Medicago truncatula: one gene and its partner. The protein of the gene in region 1 interacts with the protein of each later gene in a pairwise test. Links are inferred from orthologs where the notes say so. Each region holds a gene or a part of one and is shown on either strand. Other genes may lie near its edges.

Region 1 (7,857 bases):
CGCTTTCAACGTGCATTCACGTGAAATTGAATACCCCTGTCCACAATCGGTTTACTAATGATGCATTTGTTTCCATCATAGTCAGACTTTCAATGTGCATTCTCGTGATTTTGAATCCCCCTAACCGCAGTCTGTTCACTAACGATGTGTTTGTTTCCATTATAGTCACCTGAAACGCGCATTCACATACATATTTTAATCCTTCACAGCCGCTGCATCGTGAAGCAGCAATAATATATCCTTGTATGTCACACCTCTACAAAAGGAAGCTTCACATTGAATGTGCAGCAATAACACTATAGAAAGTATGTTTTCCAAACGCAACAACTAGCTTAAGCTGTTTTAACACCCAAAGATAACCATACTATGTATATGCCACTTAGATTATGTGATACTTATAGTTACTAGAATCAATTGCTGTGATGTATCACTACGACAATCAATTTGCTAGAGCCTTGATTCGAAAAACAAAATTGAAAGAACTCAGCCATTTTCCAAAGACAATTTCCATTAATTTAGAGAACCCTGAAATGTTTAATGACATACTTAAGAAAAATAAAATTGTTCTTACGAATTGAAACTATCCAATTTTACATACTCCTGCACTTAACCAGTGATCTTCATCACTCCCTCTAAATAAACGACTCCCCAACCAAGCTACCCAAAAGGCAAAATCTGCAGTCCTGCTCGCATCACTTGAAATATGTACAGAAACATCTCAAGCCAATCACATAGAGGTCTTCACAAATTGAATGTGACTCTCCATGTAGTTCATGCATTTGCAGGTTGTGTTGGTACCTTGGCGTGATTATGCTCGCCTTCATAGGTAACCATTAGCATAGTAGGCTCATCCAAGCACCTCTCAACATGCTTCCTAGCAGGGCAGCCTCTCATGCTGCTGCATTTATAATAGCCCCTGAAGAAACAAAATTAAGAGATTACAATCAGTTTCATCACACATAAAACTTGTAGAGTTGTAGTTCACATTTCACCTTCATTTAATTGACAATAATGTGCAAATAATGAAGCATAAATTTTGCTACTAAGGTTAAGATTGAGTTTACACCTAGAATATCAAAATTGCCAAATTGATTTCTCAAACATGTTTTCAAGTTAAAAAAAAGGGGCTATTGAACAAATGGAACTGTCAATATGATATTTGTAATGAAAAAATGAAGAGCTACAAGTTGACAGTGCATAAAAACATTCAAGGACCTTCTCAACGACTTAAATTCTATACAACGTACTCATCAACCAGAATACCAACTAAGAACAAATTACAAACATGGACAAAGGAATATATTAGCAGAACTCCAATCAACATATTACATATCCACACATAGACCAAAATTATTTAAATCCCCACAGGCTAGTACATCAATCAGATCATGTCAACATACTTTAAGATAAAATCATAAATGTACACCAAGCAGCGTAACGAAATAGTTCAGAAGTTTTATAAAATTATTGTTTATCACAACACATTCATATTTATTTGCTCCTTGAATCAATAAAATTAAATCTCAAATGGCACAACGGTTGGGCATACCTAGGGTGAGGAGAGCCCTTGATAGGCTTCTGCCCGTACTTCCTCCACGAGTAATCATCAGGAGGGATATCCGCAAGCTTGTTGCTGATAGCAGGCACCTTAATTGATCTCTTCACTCTATGCTTCCTGTCAAGAACACATAAAGTTATTAATATGATATTATAATGGTTTCTTAAACCTTTAAAGTAACAGAAATTAACCATTAATGTAGCAACCATAAGAATTACCTTTTCTTTGAGCAATGACATTTAGAACTGCTACTACATTTCAAGCTTCCCTCATCACCTCTAGCAGAACATTTCCTCTTGTGCTGTGAATTCTGATCTGAAGAGATCGGAGCTCCTATCAAATGGAAGGAACTTCCATCAACGTTTGCTACGCTTCCGTCTATGCTCAAGGAGGAAATGAAAGACCTAGTAGACGACATTGTTGGTGTGCTGCTAGTAGCCTTGTCAAAATTAAGGCTTATGCCGCTGGTGTTCCTTCGGAACATCATTTCAGCTTGATGCTTCATTTGTTGCTGCTGTTGCTGCTGCTGCATCAACAACCTTTGTTGCTGCAGCTGCTGCTGGTGATGATGCTGTTGCTGCGGCTGATAGAATTGATAGTGAGTTGATGCAGCTTGTTGAGCAAGGTGAAGCGGACTTTTCCCGTTCGAACTCAATTCCAAAGAAGGGTTTCCAAGAGAAAGTGGATTTCTTAGGGTTGAACCAAGTTCCTGAACTGAATTTTGAGGATAGGTAGTTTGAGTAAAGTGAACATTTTTGGTGTGATGGTTGATGATGTTTCTTTTGCAATTTGGGTTGTCTAAGAAAGCAGTTTGAGGATAAGGAACATTTTGAAGATTTTTAAGCTTCCTAACTCTTGAATGATCCAAACCATGAAGCAAAGACACAACTTTCTTGAACCTATTCACAGCTTCACCAGTTTCAACAGTTAAATTCCTATGATGAACTTGATCCCTTGGTTGAGACAACATACTTAGAACTCTATGACAGCTTTCAACAGCTGTTCTGCTTGCTTGTTCAACTTCTTCCATTTTAGCCTCTCTCTTTCTATCTATAACAAAATTCAGAAAATAAAAATATTTAAAAAAAAAAAAAAAACTAAGTCCCTAAATCAAAAGAAGAACACACCAAAACACAAAGAAAGCATCTCATTTATCCACAAATATATCAGACATTGATTCTCATGTGGAAGATAAAAATACCCAGATGAAAAAAATCCCATTTTTCACCAGACAATGAACCGCAAAAATAGGATTTTTATTTTTAGTTAAAGTTACAAAATTTCAGTTCATAAGAAGATAAAGGTTGAATTTTTTTTTGAAACAAAAAAGACCCATGAATCAGAATCAACTAATAGTGCCTTTCAACATTACATTAAAAAGACCAAAGATAAAAAATAAAAAAAAATAAAAAAAGACCCAATTTTCATGTGACAAAAAAAACCAACAAAAAAATATCAAAGTGCAGACAAACCTTGATGAACTTGTGTTGTCAAACCCTAGAATCTTGTTGCTGTTGTTGTTGTTGATGTTTCCATGGGTTTGAGATTGAAGGTGTGAAGAGAGGACTTTGGTTTCTTTGAGAATTCACACAACCATCACACACACACACACACACACATAAGAATACAAAGGTTCTAACTTTAGACTAAAAACATTTATAAATAAAAGTCCTAAGAAACAAGCAAAAAATAAAACAATTTTATATTTGTAGCTATACTCTAGTGAGAGAGAGAGAGAGGGGAAAAAAAGATGAGTTAAGAGTTTAAATAAGAAAAAAACACACACAAGAAGAGAGAGAGAGAGAGAGCATGAGAAACAGCTTGAGAAATGAAACTGCTGTCTCTGTCACAGATTTGAAGGTGGGACCGACATGAAGACCTTTGTTATTCTTTTTCTTCCCTTGTTTCAGCTTTAATTAATATTTTTTTAGACCTACCCATTTCAGCTTCACTTTTACTACTTTTACTTCTTGATTCAATTTATTACACTGTGTTTCTGATTTTTTTTATTGGTTTGAAATTTTGGATTTACCTTCCTTAAAAAAAAAATAGTTTTGGATTTACCTTATATGATGTGTTCTTTCAATGTTCAAAAGTAAGTTTATCTTGACTGGAGTAAACTAGTAAACTGGTTAAGTTTAATTTCTTTCACAAAATTTTGAATGGGCTAAGGTTAATTTTTTTAATCAATTTTAAATATAAAGTAAAAAGTCGAATGTATTTAATATGAATTTTGAACCAACCGTATTTTTTTTTATAACAAAAGAGTGCATGCATTTTTATTTAAACTTTTCTAATTAGTATTTTAGAAATTGGCTAAATATAGTGATTTTGTTCATCTATGTATTATGTGCTGTAAACGCGTTTAAAATCGGTTACACGCATGTATTTCAGTGAGATGAATGTGAGTTCAAAAATTTATTAGGTTAAATACACGCGTTTAAAATCTGTCATATACGCCACAAAGTAATGAATGCGGGTTCAAAATTTTATGAAATTGAGCCGACGCACTTAAAACCTGTTACATAGGTCACTATGTACAGTCAAATATATTTAACCCGATTTTGAACCAAAGACATTTGATTTTTTCCCGTATATCTATAACAAAAGAGATTATGAATTCTTATTTAACCTTCTCTGTTTTATATTGTAAGAATTGGCTAAATATTGGTAGTAATGCCTAACATATACTAGTGAATTTTTTTTCCTCCATGTATTATATGTATTTCAATGAGTTGAAAACACGCGTTATAAATCTACCATATACGCCACAAAGTAATGAATGCGGGTTCAAAATTTTATGAAATTGAGCCGACGCGCTTAAAACCTGTTACATAGATCACTGCAGACAGTCAAATATATTTAACCTAAATTTCGAACCAAATACATTTGATTTTTTCCCGTATAATTATAACAAAAGAGATTATGAATTTTTATTTAAACTTTGCTATTTAATGTTGTAAGAATTGGCTAAATATTAGTAGTCATGCCTAGCATACCACTGAATTTTTTCCTCCATGTATTATGTGTATGTGAAGGCGTTTAAAATCGGTTACATGTATTTCAGTGAGATGAATGCGAGTTCAAAATTTATTATGTTGAAAACACGCATTTAAAATCTTCCATATACGCCACAATGTAATGAATATGGGTTCAAAATTTTATGAAATTGAGCCAACGCGCCTAAAACCTGTTACACATGTCACTGTAAATAGTCAGATATATTTAGTCCAAATTTCGAACCAAATACATTTGATTTTTCCCCGTATATTTATAACAAAGGAGATTATAAATTCTTATTTAAACTTCTCTTTTTAATATTGTAAGAATTGGCTAAATATTGGTAGTCATGCCTTTCATATACTAGTGAATAATTTTTTCTATGAACACGTTTAAAATCGGTTACATGTATTTCAGTGAGATGTACGTGAGTTCAAAAAATTATTATGTTGAATACACGCGTTCAAAATATGGGTTCAAAATTTTATGAAATTGTGCTAGCGCGCTTAAAACTTGTTACATAGGTCACCGTAAATAGTCAAATATATTTAGTCCGAATTTAAACTAAATACATTTGATTTTCCCCCGTATATTTATAACAAAAGAGATTATGCATTCCTATTTAAACTTCTCTATTTAGTATTTTAGAAATTGGTAAAATATTAGTAGTCATGTTTAGCCAAACTATTAAATTTGTTTCCAAGTATTATATGTTTGTGAATGTGTTTAAAACCATTTACATATATTTCAGTGAGATGAATGTGAGTTCAAAACTTTGTGGCGTGTTCAATACCTATCACATACATCAGTGTGTAATGGATGTGGATTCAAAATTTTGTGAAATTGAACCAACACACTTAAAATCATAGGTCATTGTAAATAGTCAAATATATTTAGACCGAATTTCAAACAAAATACATTTGATATTTCTTTTTATATTTATAGCCAAATATAGTATGAATTCTTATTTAAACTTTTAATATTTTAGAAATTGGTAAAATAGTAATAGTCATGCTTAGCCTATACTATTGAATTTTTTTCAAGTATTATTTGTTTGTGAATACGTTTTAAAACGGTTATATATTTTTCAGTGAGATGAATGTGCAAATCGAGATTGGATCCTCTCCTTTCCCCTCATTGTCTCTTTCTCCCTCCTTCATCAAGTTATGTCTATCTCTCACTTGATATCCCCCCCCCCCCCCCCTCTCTCTCAAATCCATGAACGTGAGCTCATAAATTTGTGACATTGCATTCATGCGTTGAAAATTTGTCACATATGTCATTGTGTAATGAATCTGGGTTCAAAATTTTGTGAAATTGAACCAACATGCTTAAAGTATGTTACATTTTTTTTTAGAGCCGCGTAAAGTATGTTACATGCATCACGATATAATGAATGTAAATTCAAAAAATTTGTGAAACTAAATCAACACATACATAAACATGTTGATAGGTTGTGATTGTATAGGATTACAATTAAGGTTGTAATTTCTTAAGTTATCATTGTTTGATTGTTCGACGAGTTTGATATAAGAAATAATCTTGATCTTGTCTATTTTCAAAGAAGTATGGCCTGACTTAGACTTGAAGTGTATAGGATTACAATTAAGGTTGTGATTTCTTAAGTTATTATTGTTTGATATAAAAGATAATCTTCATCTTGTCTATTTTCAAAGAAGTATGGCCTGACTTAGACTTGATGTAGACTAATGTAGTCAACTTAGCCTATTGATGGACTTATTTGACAAATGTACTAAATGCATCGTCAAATAATAATATATGTAGAGATTCATATCCACATGAATTGTTGTTTCTAATAGGCAATTAAACTATGTTTATTTAAAAATTAAAATGGAGGTGTTTGCATTCATAGTTGGTTTGCAGATCAAATTAAATAAATACTTAATTCAGAATGATGACAGGAGCTTAAGATGGTTTGAATCCTCTTTATGTTCCTGCTTGGTAATGCTAGGTCCTAAACAAAAAAATAATTTGATACCTTTGCTCATGACAATTTAAAAAATAGACCAAGATCAAATTCTTGGTTCAAGGTACGGTTTCTATAATATAAAACTCTAATTTCTTAGGTGAAATTGATATTATCAAAAGTTTGATTAAGCGTTAATATATTAGCCGCACTAATTAATTCCCTATATCTATATAAATTAGTTAGAGAACATTGTGCCTAGTTCCGGTTACAAGACCTAGTGGTAATAATGAATTACAACATAAAATTAAGGCTAAAATATGGTTTTAGTCCCTGTAAATATGCCTCGTTTTGGTTTTAGTCCCTGGTAAAAAAATAATTTGTTTTTGGTCCCTGCAAAATTTTTTGTTTTTGAAAATAGTCCCTGACCCCACTTTTGTGATGATTTGCATACGTGACACATTATAACTGAACCAATTTTATAGTTTTTGGTCCCTGCAAAATATTTTATTTTTAAAAAAGGTCCCTGCAAAATTTTTTGTTTTTGAAAATAGTCCCTGGAGGGACTATTTTCAAAAACAAAAAATTTTACAGGGACCAAAAACAATTTTTTTTTTACCAGGGACTAAAACAAAAACGAGGCATATTTGCAGGGACTAAAACCATATTTTAAGCTAAAATCAATTAGAGTTTATCATGCAATGAAAGCATATAACCACAAGGTATAATGAAGAAGCATAGTTCAAATTACCTTAACAGAGGACTTATAGATTATATGGTTCAAACAATATCATACAAGTTCATCATTAAATCTAAATCTAATGAGTTTAGCTACTTATCATATTAATAAACAACATAATCAAAAGGTTAAAGAGCTACACACACAAATAGAATAGCAAAGGTCTTCAATCTTGTTGACAAGGGATGGAAATTTCCACTTTAGGTCAATGACATCACACTTTATGTCTATGGATCGTCAAAATTTGAAACCCTTCTATTTAGGCGAGTGCTTGCTTAAGTAAATCGGATTTTACATTATACATGCGCACCCCGTACAACATCACACGCGTTGCGCGTCTCGCTAAATGATAAATGTGCATGTTGCACACAAAAGCACGCATGTCGTGCACATGATTGAGGCTAACACATTTGAACTATGTTTCATTTTGCACGTTGCTCACTAGACTTACAAGCGGGACACATGCGTTTGAGACTCCTTACACTTTACAACTTCGCTCTTCATGAAAAAATAACCTTTGTCATGTGATCGAGACATAATTTCCCCAAGTTTCTTGGACTTCATCTCTTTATTATGATTGGTATACCTTTGCAACATCCACAAGGTATCTTCTAATCGGATCAAACCATTGGT
Region 2 (7,586 bases), on another chromosome or scaffold:
TGAAACCATGATCTATGGTGACATGAGACACCAAAGTAGACACAAATGAAAAATGCAGAACGTAATGTATTAACATAGAAATGGTAAATGTTTTCGATTTGAAATTTAAATTCAAACTGTCAGTCACCACACGCTAAATGTTTTCAATTTGAAATTTAAATTCAAACTGTCAGTCACCACATGCAATGGAGTCAGTGGAAGCAACAACTTCATCTAGTTGGTTACCAGTACAAAAAAAACTGTTAGTTTGAGATTCCAATAGTTAGTTTAATATATTAGATGGTTAGTTTCTGCTGCATGACACATAGCAATGCACTCCTTGTTACACCTGTATTTTTCTCTATAATCCATATAGATGTACTACTTCAGTATTTTCAGAATGAATGAAAAGACATTTTTCTCTTCATGCCGTGATCATAGAAGCAACTGTCAAGTGATGGATATGTATGAGAGCAGGGGAAAAGGAAAAGCTATGCATAATTTTGTTTTACTTCATATTTCAATATAAGCAAGGCAGTGAACACCTTGATGCATCATGAACAGAAAAATGAGTAATAAAATATAAGTTATCAGAATCCAAACGGTAGAATACAATCATTGTAAATTCTTCAAAAAAGAAAATAGAACCATTGTAATAACGTCTGAAACAGTTAACATTAAGTCCACATGGTACTGCCGAATACAAAAGTAATATAGCATATAGATTATTAATAAGTCATTTTCCATTAACATATAAGACAGATTACTGTTGTTAAAAAAAAAGAGAGAGATACAAGACAGATTACTTACATCAACGTCTTCATCTTGAACCGAATAATTCTTGAAAGTACCCAAAGCTCCCTCCAAGAGTGGCCTAGTGATTATTTCATTAAACCGTGCAACAACCTAAAAGAAAAGTGTTTAGAAAGAAACTAGCAAAGAAACATAAAACGATAAGAAAATCTTCATGATTATAATCCATTTTTAAATAGAAAATAAATGAAAAATCTGGAAGCAGAATATGATAACTTCCTCAAGGTAGACATTTTAAGTTATTTCACTACTTCATATCTCCACCTTTTTTGTTTATCCACTACGTATAGCAATCCCATTAGCAACTTCCTTGCAGTACAAAATCCTCTCATGTCTGGAAAACGGGATTTGGGCACTAGACTCTGTTGGAGTTTCAACATTCATTCTCCAAAAAGACAACACAACTTTATTATTGGAATTCAACTCTAGAAGGCCAGACCCAAGATTCCCTCTAACACAAAACCATTTATATGGCTAGTTGTACTTAATAGTAATAATACAAATGATTGTTACAGGTTAGTAGACCACACAAAGCTCTCTCTCCCCTAAATCCCGTGTTGTGACCATAATAAGATATTTGTGGTGCATAATTTTCAGTATTTTGGAAGAAAACTAGAATTGTCCAAACATTTGGATCAATTTTTTATCTGCCACTTAAAAGGTTTGGCAGGATGAAAGATAGAAAATCCTTTGGTGATGCGTAACTTGTTCTTTAGTTTGATGACTATAATTGGAAAGAAGGCCAGAACTTCAACGATAATTTCATAGCATTGTTGCTTCTATGGAACAAAGTGGTCTTCCCGAAATTTATGTGGTGCTTGGCTTCTATGCTTGATGAGTATTTTAGAGGGTACTTTTTGTCAAATGCATAGAGATTGGCGTGCTTGCTGCTCTCAGACATCATATTTGAATGCAATGAATTTCCCATAAATCAACTAAAAGTAACATGGAAATCCTAAGTTCAAGACATGTACATCATTCATATTGGTAGTGTGGTCTGTTTTTTGCTTTCTGTTCCTAACTTTACGCAAGCATTTGGAAAAGCTTATTTAACCTCGTCACATGAATAAGCATTTGAACTAGTGTTTGAATACACTTATAAAAACAACATAAGACATAGCATATACCCTTTTTAGCTTATTTCAACAACTTCCCCATAATAGCTTATTAAATGAGTGCTTTTATCTAAACACACCCTATTTGTATTCTTATCGAAATTTAAAAAGCAGGGAAATAATATAAGACTCAAAAAGGCTAGTGTTTGTCAAAAGCATTGCATGAAATAGATAAGCATCAAATTTTGTAGCATACTTACGATGGCAAAACGAAGTCCCTCCGTTCTAGTAACAGAACCTGTCAGATGCTTCACAGCATCTGTTTGTGCAAAAGATGATCGGCCCTTGCTCTGAGCGTGTGGCTTAACTTCTAAAGCTATATAAGGAAAGCAGTGAAATGTTCAGCCACTAAATAAAACATTATCAAAGCAAGAAAAGAAATTGCCACAGTAAGGAGCATGATAAAACATGCTGAAAATATATTTACCATTCATGAACAACAATGATTATCACAGTATTAAGGCTCTGTTTGGCAAGACAGTTTTTTAGCTTATAAGCTCGTATGATCAAAATAGACCAATTTGGTAACAATTTTTTGCCGCGAGCTTGTAGTTTCTTTTATATAGTTTATAGCTTTTTTTATAAGCTACTTCAAGTAGTGTTTGAGCTTATAGCTTATAACTTATTTCATTCTCAATTTTACCCGTTGGTATTTTATTTGGAAAAATATATATATCTATTAATTAAAAGGGTTAAATATTTTTTTAGTCCTTAAATTTTGCGCCTCTTTGAAGAATAGTCTATACATTTCATTAAATGTTTTTAAAATCCTCAAATTTTATCTCCGTTATCAACTAGTTCAACTTCAATTAATAACACAGCATATTCAATTCACTAAGTTAACGAACTTCAATTTATCAGCTATCAAATAGCTTACCTCGCATAGAAAGCGAAAAGGAGAGGGAAGTGGCGGTTTTAGGAGCTTTTTGAAGATTGAAGAAGTTAGTAGGAGCAGCAATACGATGTTGGGGATGATGATGAACAAATCCAAGTGCGGGAAGGAAACAATCGGTGGAAACAGATAAAGCCATTGATGATAGAACAGTGTACCTAGAATGAACGAAGGAACACAATGAATATGTAATGTTGAATTAAAATAGTGGAAATGCTTAATCGATGTAATCAAAATTATTAGAAAAGAATAAGAAGATTTCTCACCGGAAATGGAGATGCAACTGTTGAAGCGTTTGACTCTGATTGATTGAGATGAAGAAGAAGGACTGAACTGAAAAGGATTATATATAGTAGCCCCAAGGGAACTCCAATGGCAAGCTGCACGCACCATCAATTAACCAATGTATTTACAAATAAGTTGCGACGCCGAGTTTGATAACGCAAGCTTATGACCTAACTAAAGTTTAAGATATTGAAAGGTCTTTGATGTGTGCAAAAAAAATCAAGTTGTGGTGAAAGTTGAATCGACAATTTACGGGGTGAATCTTCCTCAAACAAAAAAAAAAACGTTATGAGTGAATCATCTTTTACCAATTTAATCGAATATAAACATGTATTAATTCTTACTTTTATTGGAAACTGAAAATAGTAAAAAATAAGTCATGTCGAAAGAAAGGAAAAAAAAATTGAGATTAATGGTTAGACGAAATTTTTAGATGTTTGTTTTCTCCTCATATATTCGATTTAAAATCTTTTATTTATTACGATATTTTTTTAAAAAATTTACAGAAACAGCCAATCCTAATATTTTATCAACAAAAGTTTTATTCTGTGCGATATAAAAAAAAAATTGAGAGGATCAAGAAAAGTTTTATTAATGATTTCTTTTTAAAGAAAAAAGTTTTTGTATTAGAGTTTTTTTTTTTAAGTAAGTTTTAGTATTAAAGATGTGAAGCACGTTTTTATTTTGACAAAAGATGCGTGCATGTTGCAGAGGTTAAATCTTAACGATGAAATTTCCTTAAAAAAACCGATGAAAACTCCTTAAAAATTAGTAACCAAAAAAAAAACTCCTTAAAAATTAAATAAATTTAAAAAAGGGCATGTGACGTGGTTTTTTGGACTAATTGAGGCATGGAACATTTTATTATTTTACAGGGCAAAAAGGCATGAACCATGATAGCTTAACTAACACAAGAAAATATTTGAATAGATACTTAAACAACAATGAATTGATCAATTGAAGCATAATGTTCATTTTTTATTGTTCAAAACAAATTGAAGCATAATTTTTTTTTTAGGGAAAAATTGAAGCATAATGTTGAGTATAAATGAGATAACATATACACCGACTCATTCATTGGTTGAACGCATTGAAATCGTACCTTTTAACTTCTTCTTTTTTTAGCAAAGTAAAATTTAGTGCATTTCATTCATAAATAAAGAGTACATGGTAGATGGTACATCATTGAAAACATAGAGGCTAGGGTGAGATAAGGATGCTCTAGCAATACTATGAGCAACCTTATTAGCTTGCTTCTTAACAAACGACACTCAATAGTATACGTTCGGATATTATATTTGTTGGTGATTGTTGTTATAAGAGGTAACCCTGATAGGTTATGTTTGTGGTATCCTCCGTTTGATCATATCAAGAAAAACTTACCGTGTGGAAGATAACACATACACCAACTTGTTCCTTGGTTGAACACGTTGAAATCCAACTTTTTAACTTATCAAGAGCACATGTATAAATATTATGTTTGGTATAAGAGTCTTTCTTTAGGAAATCGACGGGTTCTTCTTAGATTTATCTTGTTATTGTTACTTGACTACTCCCTCTGTTTCACAATAACTGTTGTTTAAGATTTTGACACATGGATTAAGAAATAGAATTAAATAATTAATAGACATAACACTTTTACTAAATCACCCTTACTTTATTAGAGAAAGACACACTTAAAGTTACCTTGAAAATTGTGAGAGAAAAGTTGGAGTATTTATTGAGGTTAAAGTTGAAAAAATAAATTAAAGTTGAATTGAAAATGTAAAGTGACACTCATTATAAAACGTGGGGAGTAATTTATTTCATTCTTTGTTCTTTTTAACTGATTTTTATGGAAGTAGGGGTGAGGAAGCTAGAAAAATTTATTGGATAAAGTGGAGTAAGGTGTGTCTTGTCGGAGTAGACGTGGTTTAAGGGTGCATATAGCTTGAGGGCTAAATCATTTTTATGTTAGGTAAATAATGTTGGAAGTTGCATGTGGATTAAGGAGTTTGTAGTGTATGGTTTAAATGGCGAGTTGCGATATGGAGGGTGGTCAAGTGAAAGAAGGGGAGTAAGGCGTTGATGTGGTGGAACAATGTTATTTTGCATAAGAGGGGGTAGGATTGGAGGTTGGTAATCTGATTGACGAAAACTTAGTGAGCAATGAGGTTATTTCACTTTTTTGGTTTGATAAGTAGTTTATGGCAAGACTTTTATGTGATAGATTTAAAAAACTTTTTGAGTTAGCCGAGAATCACTTTGTATCAGTTGAAAAGACATGTATATTTGGCTGCAGCGGGGAGGGTGTTGAGGGAAGGTCGAGTAGGAGGTTTCATGCTTATGAGGAAGATAATGTGGAATAATATTGTTCTTTGTTGTATAACATTTTTTGTAGGACAATGTGTCGGAAAAGTGGAATTAGAAACTTGACTTCGACGAAAGATGCTCTGTCAAAGGAGTATATCATGCGTTGACTCGTATGAAGATTAGTGATTGTAACGCCCTATTTCTATTAAAGTGATAAAATACGCGAATGATATAAATATTCAAGAAATAGTCGTCACGTCAATCACAAAATCCAAAATAACATGCATGTGTAAAATTCTTAACAGTCACGGCGGATAAAGATCATACATCTCAAAGGTATACATGTCATGATATAAAAAAATATCTCAATATAAAAATTCTCCAAATCCCGACAAGTGGGGAAACTTCCAACACATAAATAGTCCGCAACAGATAATTTAGATAATCATAAACAGACACCTAGAGTCTATCCTAGACTCTAAGAAACCGATACCGGAGATAGCTCCCGATATTCGACCAAGCACCAAGCAACTCACCGAAGCAACTAACCCTGCACGTCGTCTACCCATCCATACAGACAGGTAGGCGGTCAAAACCACTGGGGGTAAGCTTTACATCAATCATAATCAATAAAATAGATTTGAGCATATATGAATTAAAGTCAATTCCGAGTATTTCACATAAACAGTTAATTCAATATACACATTCACATAACAATTTCAAATATCATGATCAAGTATTCACCAAGCACACTTATCATCAACAATTATCATTCACAATCTCATCACAATCTTCAACAATTATCATTCACATGCAACAATTACAACTCATGTTAATTATGCAATGCGCCTAATTCCGACACATATATGCATGTGGTACCAAATAACAACAACAAGATGCCAACCGCACATCTTATGTAAGAGTACACCTCATCTTACGCACAACTATGTAAAAGTACACCTCCTTTTACATTTCACATATGACATGATATGACAATGATGCATGGACATAAGCAAAGACCCAATAATGCAAACTACTCAACATACAACAACACAATGTAAAAGTACACCTCCAATTACATTGCTCAACTTCAACAACAATTGCATTATCAAGCATTTACATCCACACAATCAACATGCCATTATTCAATTAAGAGTCATCACCAAATATCACAAATTCATCAACATGTATTCATTAATCCACTTCAACTATATCATATAGTTCAACAACTTCATACAACTTTTCATAATACAAGTAAAGGAGGAAAATACAACACCTAATGATAAATATCATATTTAAGACCTCACAATTACTCACATATCTTCATTCAATCGTATCAAACTAATCTCAAAATATTATAAGGTATTTGGCTCAAAGAATCATTTTTGATAAAGTCTGTCTCAAGTGGCAAACAGCCAACATTGATAATTCCCAAAATAAAGTAACTTATTCAAGTTTGAAGACTCACAACTCAATCTTAATCAATTATGTAATCAAGAGCTTAAGTCACTTACAATATTAGACATTAGTTCAGAGTATAGCTTAAGTTCGTATGAGAAAACCCAAGTTCACATTTTCCTCATTCCCACCTGAAATATCAAGTTTAGCATGATTAAGATGTTTGACCAAGATTACAAGTCTTGTCTAAGTCTATATGAACTGTAGACCCAACTTATAATCCCATTTAGTTCACAAAAGTTCATTCCGACAAAAATCTGAAATTCCCAAAAATTCAAGTTTCAATCTTAAAACATGTTCCAATAGATTTAGGAGTTCAAACAGTAGTTAAACAAGTTGAAAGAAGCATTTTACAAAGTTCGGATTGGCTCCCTAAAGTCCGGAACGAAAATCAAAGGTTGCTGAAACTGAGCATGTTCGCTTAAGCGACCACCTTGTTTGCTTAAGCGAACAAAGTTCCAGAAGCTACAACAAAAGTTCGCTTCCGGTTCGCTTAAGCGAACCAGTCACAAAACCTACTGTGATTGTTCGCTTACTCGTTCGCTTAAGCGAACAGTCATAATTCTGCAGAAAAATATTACGGGTTTCAACCCTTTTTCACCCAAAATTCCCAATTTTGATCTCCCAATGCCCAAATATGTTTCCAAAGTTTGTTTACAGGTCAAAACAACTAAAACACATCAAACATGAAAACAATTGCCATATGAACATAATTCACCAAATCAACCCATTTTTACAAAACCAACAACAAC

The links.
Region 2: the proteins of probable WRKY transcription factor 21 (region 1) and 6,7-dimethyl-8-ribityllumazine synthase, chloroplastic interact in binary tests that used the Arabidopsis thaliana proteins (3 or more experiments, as listed by UniProt). The link is inferred for Medicago truncatula from reciprocal best matches to the Arabidopsis thaliana genes WRKY21 and COS1.

Annotation. Positions count from the first base shown.
Region 1 is NC_053042.1:35,168,681-35,176,537, forward strand, and holds probable WRKY transcription factor 21, read right to left. Parts: upstream 3,278-7,857; 5' UTR 3,031-3,277; intron 2,609-3,030; exon of another isoform or gene 2,605-2,608; 5' UTR 2,589-2,604; coding exon 1,777-2,588; intron 1,676-1,776; coding exon 1,550-1,675; intron 917-1,549; coding exon 772-916; 3' UTR 491-771; downstream 1-490.
Region 2 is NC_053045.1:46,659,608-46,667,193, forward strand, and holds the start of 6,7-dimethyl-8-ribityllumazine synthase, chloroplastic, read right to left. Parts: upstream 3,218-7,586; 5' UTR 3,066-3,217; intron 2,958-3,065; 5' UTR 2,939-2,957; coding exon 2,785-2,938; intron 2,224-2,784; coding exon 2,108-2,223; intron 886-2,107; coding exon 790-885; intron 1-789. UniProt on the Arabidopsis thaliana protein: Catalyzes the formation of 6,7-dimethyl-8-ribityllumazine by condensation of 5-amino-6-(D-ribitylamino)uracil with 3,4-dihydroxy-2-butanone 4-phosphate. This is the penultimate step in the biosynthesis of riboflavin.